3 linked regions of the Daphnia pulex genome follow. The protein of the gene in region 2 interacts with the protein of the main gene of each other region in a biochemical or structural test. Links are inferred from orthologs where the notes say so. Each region holds a gene or a part of one and is shown on either strand. Other genes may lie near its edges. The genes, in order: methylosome subunit pICln-like, protein arginine N-methyltransferase 5-like and serine/threonine-protein kinase RIO1-like.

Evidence for each region.
Region 1: the proteins of protein arginine N-methyltransferase 5-like (region 2) and methylosome subunit pICln-like form a complex in vitro, tested with the Homo sapiens proteins (5 studies listed by BioGRID and IntAct, with this or other methods). The link is inferred for Daphnia pulex from reciprocal best matches to the Homo sapiens genes PRMT5 and CLNS1A.
Region 3: the proteins of protein arginine N-methyltransferase 5-like (region 2) and serine/threonine-protein kinase RIO1-like are reported together in a solved structure, tested with the Homo sapiens proteins (2 studies listed by BioGRID, with this or other methods). The link is inferred for Daphnia pulex from reciprocal best matches to the Homo sapiens genes PRMT5 and RIOK1.

What each region holds. Positions count from the first base shown.
Region 1 is NC_060018.1:1,925,716-1,928,268, forward strand, and holds methylosome subunit pICln-like, read left to right. Parts: upstream 1-807; 5' UTR 808-994; coding exon 995-1,113; intron 1,114-1,195; coding exon 1,196-1,341; intron 1,342-1,445; coding exon 1,446-1,607; intron 1,608-1,669; coding exon 1,670-1,735; intron 1,736-1,817; coding exon 1,818-1,891; 3' UTR 1,892-1,988; downstream 1,989-2,553. Other genes in the region: renin receptor-like, read right to left, coding at 1-10, 72-380, 516-643, 702-747. UniProt on the Homo sapiens protein: Involved in both the assembly of spliceosomal snRNPs and the methylation of Sm proteins.
Region 2 is NC_060023.1:12,078,854-12,082,611, forward strand, and holds the start of protein arginine N-methyltransferase 5-like, read right to left. Parts: upstream 2,571-3,758; 5' UTR 985-2,570; coding exon 800-984; intron 714-799; coding exon 595-713; intron 521-594; coding exon 306-520; intron 248-305; coding exon 1-247. Other genes in the region: CUGBP Elav-like family member 1, read right to left, coding at 3,334-3,461, 3,537-3,758. UniProt on the Homo sapiens protein: Arginine methyltransferase that can both catalyze the formation of omega-N monomethylarginine (MMA) and symmetrical dimethylarginine (sDMA), with a preference for the formation of MMA.
Region 3 is NC_060022.1:121,901-125,658, forward strand, and holds serine/threonine-protein kinase RIO1-like, read right to left. Parts: upstream 2,733-3,758; 5' UTR 2,673-2,732; coding exon 2,602-2,672; intron 2,545-2,601; coding exon 2,405-2,544; intron 2,346-2,404; coding exon 1,937-2,345; intron 1,871-1,936; coding exon 1,684-1,870; intron 1,617-1,683; coding exon 1,498-1,616; intron 1,432-1,497; coding exon 1,236-1,431; intron 1,180-1,235; coding exon 1,057-1,179; intron 999-1,056; coding exon 750-998; intron 690-749; coding exon 585-689; 3' UTR 518-584; downstream 1-517. Other genes in the region: uncharacterized protein LOC124195509, read left to right, coding at 1-32, 98-331. UniProt on the Homo sapiens protein: Involved in the final steps of cytoplasmic maturation of the 40S ribosomal subunit. Involved in processing of 18S-E pre-rRNA to the mature 18S rRNA. Required for the recycling of NOB1 and PNO1 from the late 40S precursor.

The sequences.
Region 1 (2,553 bases), on a different chromosome or scaffold from region 2:
TTGCCAATACCTTTTGAAAATAATGTATTGTGTGTAAAAACCTCTCACTATTTTTTAACTAATGAAAATACCTTATGTTTTAAATCCATCAAAACATCAATATCTTTAAGAAACTGCAAGACAGCAACATCCTTTTTGTTGAGCTTTTGAAGTGCCAAAATCTTCTGGGTTTCACCAGAATATAAGTCATTTTCGTCAAATACAACTTGGCCTAGAATAGAAGTGAAATCATCCTTCACTTGATCAAGAGTAGAGGTGATCTCTAGTGGGTATCTGGGTTCACTCAACTGGAGACTTTGCACACCCTCAACAACAACAGCAACTGAAACTTCTGGGTAATTAAATGGATTCAAGACTGTAAGTCCATTCCACGAGTCACCCTGAAAACAGCAAATAATGGTATTGCTTCAAACTGATTTCATCATAGATACATCAAGTTGCAATATCACTCCTTCGTTTGGAACCAAACATATAGTTCCTAATCTACAAAGTTATAAATGAATGAAAGAACTTACAAAAGGTGTTGTGTGCCCCATTGCAGTGGAAATAATTTTTGGCAATTCACTTGTATTCAGCTGTTCATCTCCCCTAAAGTTGACTCCATTAGGGCTGTGCAAGATGCTGAACTCTCCATTTCCCAGGACTGCATTGCAACAAAACACTTCAAAAGCTGTAGTTTTCAATCGCTAGAAAATAATTACCTGAGGTTAATAGACAAAATACGCCGACAATTGATGCCACTTTCATCTTGCCTTCTTGTCTGGTCAACAGCAGCTGCAATTGCCTTTAGAAAAAGTTTGACAGTCTCGAGTCTCGTGACAGCTAAAGTCAGGTGATGTGTTCGTGGTTCATGATTTAGTCCCTAGATGACGTTTTCATTGCAGCCTACAATTTTTTTTTAAAACGTTGTGCTGCTGACAGCGTGATTCGAATCATATTTCATTTTCAAATTGTTGCTCTTCTTCTTTTCTGAATTCGTTAAATTTCTTAAAAAATGGTTGTATTATCTTCATTTCCTCCGCCTACCGAAGGAATCAAATTAGTTCAGCCTAATACTGGAGCTTTCATCAACACCAGAGACTTGGGCCAAGGAACATTATATATTGCAGAAAGGTTAATTTATATTTATATTCTATTTAAGTTTTCGATTACAAGAGTCACGGAAAAATAATTTTACCTATTCCAAACCATTTAGTCGTGTATCATGGGTTAGTGCCACATCTGGCCAGGGATTTTCGCTGGAATACCCCCACATATCGTTACATGCTGTTTCAAAAGATCCTTCTGCATTTCCACAGGAATGCTTGTACTTGATGTTGGATTCAAGGCTTGATGAACCCGGTAATACCCAATTCTATATTTATGTTTAAAATATCATTTGAGAAAATGTTATGTGAGATGTGTTCATGTTTCCAGGTTTGTCTGATTAAAGTTATATTTTTAAGATGAAGCTTTAGATAATCAAGATTCTGAGGATGAGGAATCTGAAACTGATATGTCTGAAGTAAGGTTTATTCCAGAAGATCGGGGACTTCTTGATGCCATGTACCATGCCATGACAATATGTCAAACACTCCATCCTGATCCTAATGATTCAATTTCAGATGGTAATATTTGACAAAAGGCAAAAGTTTTGCAGATTATTGTATTAACTTTTTTTTTTATTTAGAAGGAGATTTTGAAGATACTGAGGAAGGAGAATATTGCCTTGATGGAGCAGAAACAGCTGAAAATGGTAAATCTGATATAATTTCATTTAATTGATATCCGACAAATATTTATTGTTTTTCTCAATGTGCACCTCAATTGTTCGTAAGATCATGATAATGGTGAGGCGGAGAACATGGAGTCAGACATGGGTCAGTTTGAAGATGCCGATCCTGAACATTAACCGCACATATTTCCCTTATTCACGCTTTACTTACTATTGCTTTCTTTGAAATTTTAAATAATAAAACTTCAAAGCATAGGAGATAATTAATGTAAAACAATTTTTGGTGTCACCTCACTGTTCGATTGCCATGAACGCGAGTATTCTCGGTTAGTTAAAAAAAAAGAATGCGCCCGCTCCAATATTATGTGTAGATTTTAAGCGGGAAGCAAAAAAAAACTGTATGTGTGACAAAAAAAACAAGTTTAATAATCTTTAACTTAAAAATATCGCTGCCACAGTAAAGAAAGCATTGGTTTTCTTTAAAAAAAGAACTTCTTAAGGTAACTTGAAATGAAAAAAATGTGACGTGTTTCGACAAAGCGTGCAGAATGTTTAGCATTTTTTCTGAGGTAAAGCTTCGGTTGACGTTAACATTATGTGAACCTTCCACTAGAAAAGACAAGATCGATAACAGTAGTGCTACTCAAGAACGCCTTTTGTGGTCATGGTGGCGCTGTAGCTTGGGTTGTATCAAAGTTCAACGTTCTCAAGCCTCTCGGAAAGTCTCAATATTGATTCAGTCTCGAGTTTAGCGTCTCACGCATAGCACGACAGACTTTCTCCGCTACATCTCCCTCGGTGGTAATTATTCTCGGTACTCTGCGCCAGCGCCCCATTCC
Region 2 (3,758 bases):
AATGGGTAGGAACCACAAGACACTTGATTGGCTCTCCCAGCCAACGATCAATGTCTTCAGCATCAGGCAAATCAGCTGTGAGTTCCAGGGCCAGTGAGAGTTTCTTCTCAAAGTTTGCAGTAATGCGAAAGTTATTCCACCAATGCCAAGTATCATCAACTTCTTCTTCATCCACATCCCTTTCAAACAGACTAGCCTCAATTTTCGGGGAAATCATGGGGAGGTGGAGCCAAACATGGTACCTGGCCTAGGCACAAAGTGATAATTGAATCGTCTGCAAAAAGAAAATATTGGTAATGAAATACCTGATTCATCGGTGAAGACAACACTTTGTTGTGCATAAATCTGGCAAAATTTGTGTTGTTCTTTCTCAAGGGGACAAGGACAGCGGGGAGACCCAGATGTCCAGCAAAGGACAACTCTTGCTCCAGCATTTTCTCAGATTCTTGCCGCAGCAACTTGTCTTCATGATCCAAATCAATGTGTGGAGAAATCTTTCCAACAATGAGCGTGCTCCAGTCTTGAAATGAGATCATTCAACTTTCAATTAGGGGATCACTCGGCACACATTTATACTTTTTTTATCTTTTATACCTGAGCTGTTCAGAATGAGATCAGCTCGAGTGAAAGCTGAGAGACGTCGAGCTTGAGAATTTCCGGAGAAATCTCTTTTGTGTCTCGGATGGGCGATTGGCAGTGCAGCGAAATCATACCTGACGAAATCAAAAGTATTACGCTGTTAGCAACAAGTGACTGGGGCAATTTCTTGTGAAATTAATTTCGGGAATCAAATTAATACTTGGATTCTGTGGCGATTTGTAGAGCATTTGTAATATCGGCAGGGGAAACGAAATCGAGACCGCACGAAACACGTTTTGCCATTTTTGTAGTCGGTCTTCTGAGTGGCTGCGTTGCCAGATTTCTTTTCTTAAAAACGATTTTCGCACACCTACTTTTGTTTTTTAATTTAATTGAAATCGACATTTATTTTAAAGACGCTAATTTAAAATATTGTATTAACTGTTTCACTTGGCTGCCATCATTCGGGAGGGGGGAAATCATCATAAAAAACGGGCAAATGAAATCGCTCTGCGACATGCTGAAACACGTTTAAAGTATTCCACACCAAATATTTCCAAAAAAAAATCGCAATTTGTAACATCAAATTTTTGTCTAAATTTGCGGTGCAAACGTGAAAAAAATGAAACAAAAAAAAAAGTCGTACAAATAAAACAAAAATAAAATTTGGCATCGTCGATCCCACCCGAAATTCAAATTTCTCTTCTTCTTCTTCTCTCTCGCAGGAACTTGTCTAATTAGAACTGAAAAATGAATACTACAAACATGACTACCATCAACAAGTGCTCATTAGGTCACGAGTTTGTGTGTGTTTCTTTCAAAAAATAGACACGGGCGAATTTCTCTTGCTGGCGTCTTGCAACATAATTGTTTTAGTTTTTCTTTAAGTATCGAAAAATGTCTGACGCTTCAAAAATCGCCAACCGTAGTTGTTTTTTCTCAAACGAAGGTAAACGTGGGAAATGGGGTGTGAAGAAAAATATGAAACGACGAGATCTCACGTGCCCACCAGACAACAACAACAACAACAACAGCAAACAACTCCGTCACATCACTTTTTGCAACACAACAAAAAATTTTCACTTGGAACTTGAACAAAAGACAATCGAATTAAAAGAAAGAAGAAAAACACAATTAGAGATATACAAGTTTTTGTTTAGGTGCTTGTCAAGTCCTTTTTTGGGGGATAACGTCCACCTGGTTGCCAAAAAATGTTTGCCGGTCCTTGCGAAAAATCTGCACGTCACACTGACATTTGGGATCATTTGATACTTGTGGTAAATTGGCCGTCGGACGTGTGTGTGTGTGTTCTTGTTGCATGACTAGGGCGTGCGTCTGTACGTGTCACTGCCGAGGAAATTTCGATCAAAAAGAACAAAAAACAAAACAAAAAGGCACATGTAGGTGTCACGGCGCCACACCTTGTTTCCAACATCTTGCGTGTTGTTGTTGTTGTTGTCAAACGGTTCGAACAGAAATGAAGAGTCGATGGTGGGTGGTGGTGGGGGAGGTATACACGTTCGTATTTTCGAATTGAATTAATGTCACTTTTAAAAATTAGAAATTAATATAATTATATATAACCTATACGTGTGTGTGTGGGTGAGACTAGCTGATCACTACATCCATGTCGAATCAACATCGAAAAAAACTAAAACAATCAAAAGACACACAAACAAATGGGACACGGAACATAATCAAACATAATCCAAAAAATGGAAAAACTAAAAATAAAAATTGAAGAAACAAACAAACGACATTTTGGCATCTGGCCTAGCTGAATTCTTCTTTTCTTTTTTAAAAGGGAGGCAAACATGAAATAGCTTTCTTTTTGTAATCTCTCTACAATAATTTGGTAATATACTATGATTCAACATAACAATTAAAGAAGAACAAGACACGTGTAAATGAAAAACAAATAAAAGAAAAGAAGCGGATGAAATATTCGTCCGCTTCTCCGACGACAGAGACGCCAAACAATTGTTGTGTCTATATGGGGGACGACAAAAACACACGTACGAGACACGCAGGGAGTAAGATACACGATGAAAAAAAGAAAAAAAGGTTTGACAAACAACGTGAAAACGAGAGGAGGTTTGAAATTGTTTTTTTTTAAATTTGTGGTTGGTTGGTTGGTTGGTTGTGGTGCACACACGGACACACGGACACAAGGAAACCTAGAAGAAGAAGAGAAAATCAAATCAAAAACAACATTCGATACGAGAGACGAGAGACAAAAACGTTACAGCTAAAACATGTAGTCAACGACAAAACCCTGAGATAGACTAGAAAATTTCAATCATTTGAATTTGAGCGGGAAAAATGAATCGAGAAGAATTCAAAAAAAAAGGTTTAAATCAATTTGTTTTCTCTATTTGTGAAATATTTGTGAAATAAAGAAATTTAAGAAGAACCAATCACATGATATGTTTATAGGCTTTGCACTTTTTTCCATAAATGTGACTAGGTTATTTGGTCGCATTTCAAATTGAATAATAATAATTATTTTTAAAAAATAAAATGAAAACAAAAAAAATTTAAAATTCCCAACTTACTACCAAGAAAGGGGGAAGGGGCAAGGCGTGTTTGTCCAGTCATTTGAAAATTGTACGTTTCTTTTTTTTTGTAATGGGGCGGTGGCTTGTTGCGTTCAGTGACATCAACAAAAAAATATTTTTTTCTTTTTTTAATTTTTTTTTCGAATTTCAAAATATTTATTTCTCTCCCCCCGAGAGTTTTTCTGTTTCTTTTTTTTTAATAAGGTTTCGAGGCGTCTTTGGAACGTTTCAGCTGGACTTTGAGCCGTTTGGTGCCGATTTGAAAGCCGTTCATGGCTTGGATGGCCGCCTGGGAGCTCATCGGGTTGTCGTACGACACGAAACCTAAAATAAGAGAAATAGAATTCATCAAAATTTTCCGATTAAAATATAATGTCATGTCAAATTAAATGGAAATACCGAAACACTTTGACAAATTGGTCTGCTTGTCGATAAAGACTTTGGCTGATAGGATGTTGCCAAAGGGCGAAAAGGCTTGACAGAGGTCCGTGTCGCCAAACTCTTGCGGCAGGTGGTAGATGAACAGGTTGGATCCTTCCGGCCCTTCCTGCTGGCGCAATCCGCTACCCGTCACGCTGCCGCTGCCACCCAGGGGACTGACACTCCCGCCGTTGGCGCCAT
Region 3 (3,758 bases), on a different chromosome or scaffold from region 2:
GGGCTACTGTTTCCATAGCTCCACTGGTTTCTGTAAGATCTCTTAACATCCAAAAGAACAACAGGAAAAGTAATTCGAATTTGTTTCCTTACCACAGGCTGCGTATGTTACTGCTGCAAGTCGAAACGTGCGCTCTGTAGGAATGAGGATACGTGTTCGTCCGTTCGGCTTTCAAGATGTTCCGGCTCAAAAATTGGATTCGTTCATGACATTCATTGCATGTCACAAAGGAACGGCTAAATTGTGCTTCGTTCCAATTAGTGCTGCATCACTCGGAGCAGTTGTTGCTATTGCTGCTTTAATTTTTCTTATCAGTGCTAACGTATCGTAATGTTATTATGGAATCATGTACGGGTTGAATGCCAAAGTCAACGTTTATCTCTCATATCTGTTGTGATCTATAACTCTTTCTCAGGTAATCTCAGAGTTTCTATCATATGTTTAATCTCGGTCGGGGAATTCAATACACATTTAAGATTCGTGATTTTATAAGGAATTAAAAAATAAAACCTTCTGGTTTGGTAAATTTCCCATATTATTTGAGTCGAAAAAATACATCAGCAAACACTTATCAAAAAAGGTAATTACTTTTTGGTGTTGGCGAGTTTTTCCTTTCTTTTCTTGACGTGTTTCTTTACTTTCTGCTTCCGTTTTTCTGATTGCTCAGCCTTGATGGCCTTTTTCCTCTCCTATTCCAAACGAATTTCAAGGTAAAGTTAGACGTTAAAAAACCTAGCAGCAAAATTTACCTTTCGACTGTTGGGGGATTCGTCGCGAGGTCGTGCACTGCTCACAAATTGTTTCTTTTCACCATCTTCTGAATCAGACTCACCAGATGCCTCATCGCTGCTAGTTCCGTCCACAATAGAATTATCCAAAATGTCTGGAACTTGCTTTGGGCCTGACAAGTCTGGTTTAATTCCAGTTACATTCGCGTAGTTCAATTCAATTTTCTCTCCCGCTTTAATTTGTCTAATGTCTCGTTCAAAGAACATGACCTGACGGAATATTGAGGTTAGTGAAAAAGAAAGAAAATGAACCAGGGCGCGCACTCACTTCATCTAATCTTTGAGGAATATATGTCTGTTTAAAGACTTCTGCTTTCACCAAATCTTCCGCTGTAGACTCTCCTTGAATATTTCTTTCGGAAGAAACTGTTGCCATTCTATCCAAGTAGTCCTGGAATTCAAAATGTGTCACTAAAAATACAAGTGTGTTTTCCAAATTGTAAATACCTCAATATTGGTTTCATTGATAGTCAAATCAACAACAAAATCAAAAAGTTCTTTAACTGTCATGACGCAAACTCCGTTTCTTTTGAAGAAGTCGGTAATATTAGTGCAATCCTTACGAAGAAATTCAAGAGCATGCGGATGGTCATGTTCTACTGATTGAGACACATCGATTACGATCAATGATCCTTCATGATACCTAGGATTGGTAATTAAGATAATAAATAGCGTGGGTCTATAATAATCACACAAGTTTAAAATTTACAGCATGTTGAATTCGCTGAGATCAGCGTGAACGAGTCTGCAGTCGTGAAACATTCGCCGCATCAAAATGATTGTGTCTCGATATAACTCACGGGCTTTCGATTCACTCAGCTCAACTTCCTTGTAGTATAAAAGCATCAAATTAAATCTCGACACCCGTGTAATCTATCGGATATTTTCAGTATACCTTTAGTCGGGGGGCAGGCCAACCAGCATCACCAATGAAAGTCATCAACAACACATGACTTCTCAGCAAAATTGGTTTGGGACATGGTAAACCAGCTGCTTCAAGTCTCAATAAATTTCTCAATTCTTTTTCAGCCCAAGTTCGAACCATTTTACGGGGATTGTGCTTACAATAACCATGTCGAAATCTGCAATAAAAAAAACTAGTGAGCCACAAACATAAACAAAATAAGATTGTAAGGTGTCAAGGTTACCTGAACTCGCCTGTGACGTATTTGTCTCTGTCTTTGAATACAAGAATGGATGTTTTATAAATTTTGAGGGCCAAATGTGTGTCATCTTTTCCTGTTGCATGATATACATTGGCTTCTTTTCCAGTGGAGATACAACCATTGATTTGAGTGATAAATCCTCTGTTCATTAATTTAAACAGAATCATTCTTGTCCGGGGATCCATAACTTGCTCAGCAGTAGCTCTGTCTGCCTTGTCTCTGAGACGCACCTTGTCATCACCTGGCAACGAAGGCATTTTGAACTCGTCCACATTAATCTTTTGGGAATATTTCTTGAATAGCTTTTCTCTTGGCTGGAAAGAAACCACTTTATTGGAACTAGTCTGTTGGTTGGGTTGGGCTCCCTGTACTTTTATTTGAGGCCCCTGATCTGCAGTAAATGTTGTCAGTTAACGAATTGAAAGTAAGCTTTGAACATTATGTTGTTACCATATTGCCAATCGTAACAATCGTCATCGCTCATTTCAGAATCGTCTGAATAATAGACTTCGTTATTTTCATCGACGGGCGGCACTTCGTCATTGGTCTCAAGATTAAGTTGTCGAATACCTTCAGCAACGTTCGAGTCTCTGATAAAAGCACTAAATTACATTAAAATAACTTGATAATATGAAAAATTGCATTACTTTTCATCTTCAACGTCGCTAAATTGTCCTTCAACAGGAGAAGAATCAGAAAAATCCACGTGGACTGCCATGGTTAAATAAAATTTGTTTTCTCATGTGTCATAAAAATTCGTCTGCCACATCGTGTGCAACATTGCCAACAATTGCATATATACTTCTTTTCGCAACGGCAAAATTAGAAAAAGAAGAGAAAATCTGCAAATGCTTGCTGCTTAATTTGTATCAGGTTGTTAACTGTAATTTAAAATTTGTTTTTTCTTTAATATAATACACCTGGATTTAAAAAAAAAACAAAACAAATCTTTTTTCATTTGTTCGACGCCTTAAAAAAAGGAGAAAATTAATTAGTAATTCTTTTAGTACAATGGATGTATGATTGTATATCATTTGTAGAATTAGACAGGAAGGATTACGTTTCCACGTAACTCTTTGAATAAAAAGTCTACAGGCGCCTACACTTGATTGATATTCTTTCCGTGACCGACTAAACGCACTCCTTGAGTGATATGATTTAAAAGTAGGTGAAAGCAAAGCGAAAATGAACGATGTAGCATGCCTGCTGGTTAATATTCGGTAGACACGACATTTAAAATAAATAAGAAATAGTGTTGACGTGTTGTACCCTTTACGAATTGTTGGCTAGCTATAAATAAACTGAAGGTTGACCACCGCTGCGCTTGAATGATTACCTAGCTGCCTGCCTGCCTATTTTTAAAAACAATGGCGAACGTATAGACCCCGGAAACCTATTGTGTTACATATACACTTGCACTATAGAATAAAAGAAAGAAAAGAAAAATCAATTTTACGACCCCCTACGTGTAGTGTAAGAGCGCAACTAAAAGAATATGGCGCGTGTGAATCTGAATTGTGCACCCAATATCCGTGTGTGTGTTGTGCGTTTGATGGTGGAAATATCGCGCTGGGTAATACGCATTCGTCAACAACAGCTGAGGTCGCTGGTCGCTCAGTTACGCAAAGAGAGCGTCGCCTTTCCATCAAAACTAAGAGAGAGAACAGGTAGGGAGTTACCTTGGTGACGGCGTGGGAGTCGTACGTGTTTTATCGATTGCCACTCTTTCAACCCTCATCTGGCGTGGATTTCCGGCATACATGACAGTTCGGTTCGGTCCGTCGTGCTGTAGTTATTGCACAGC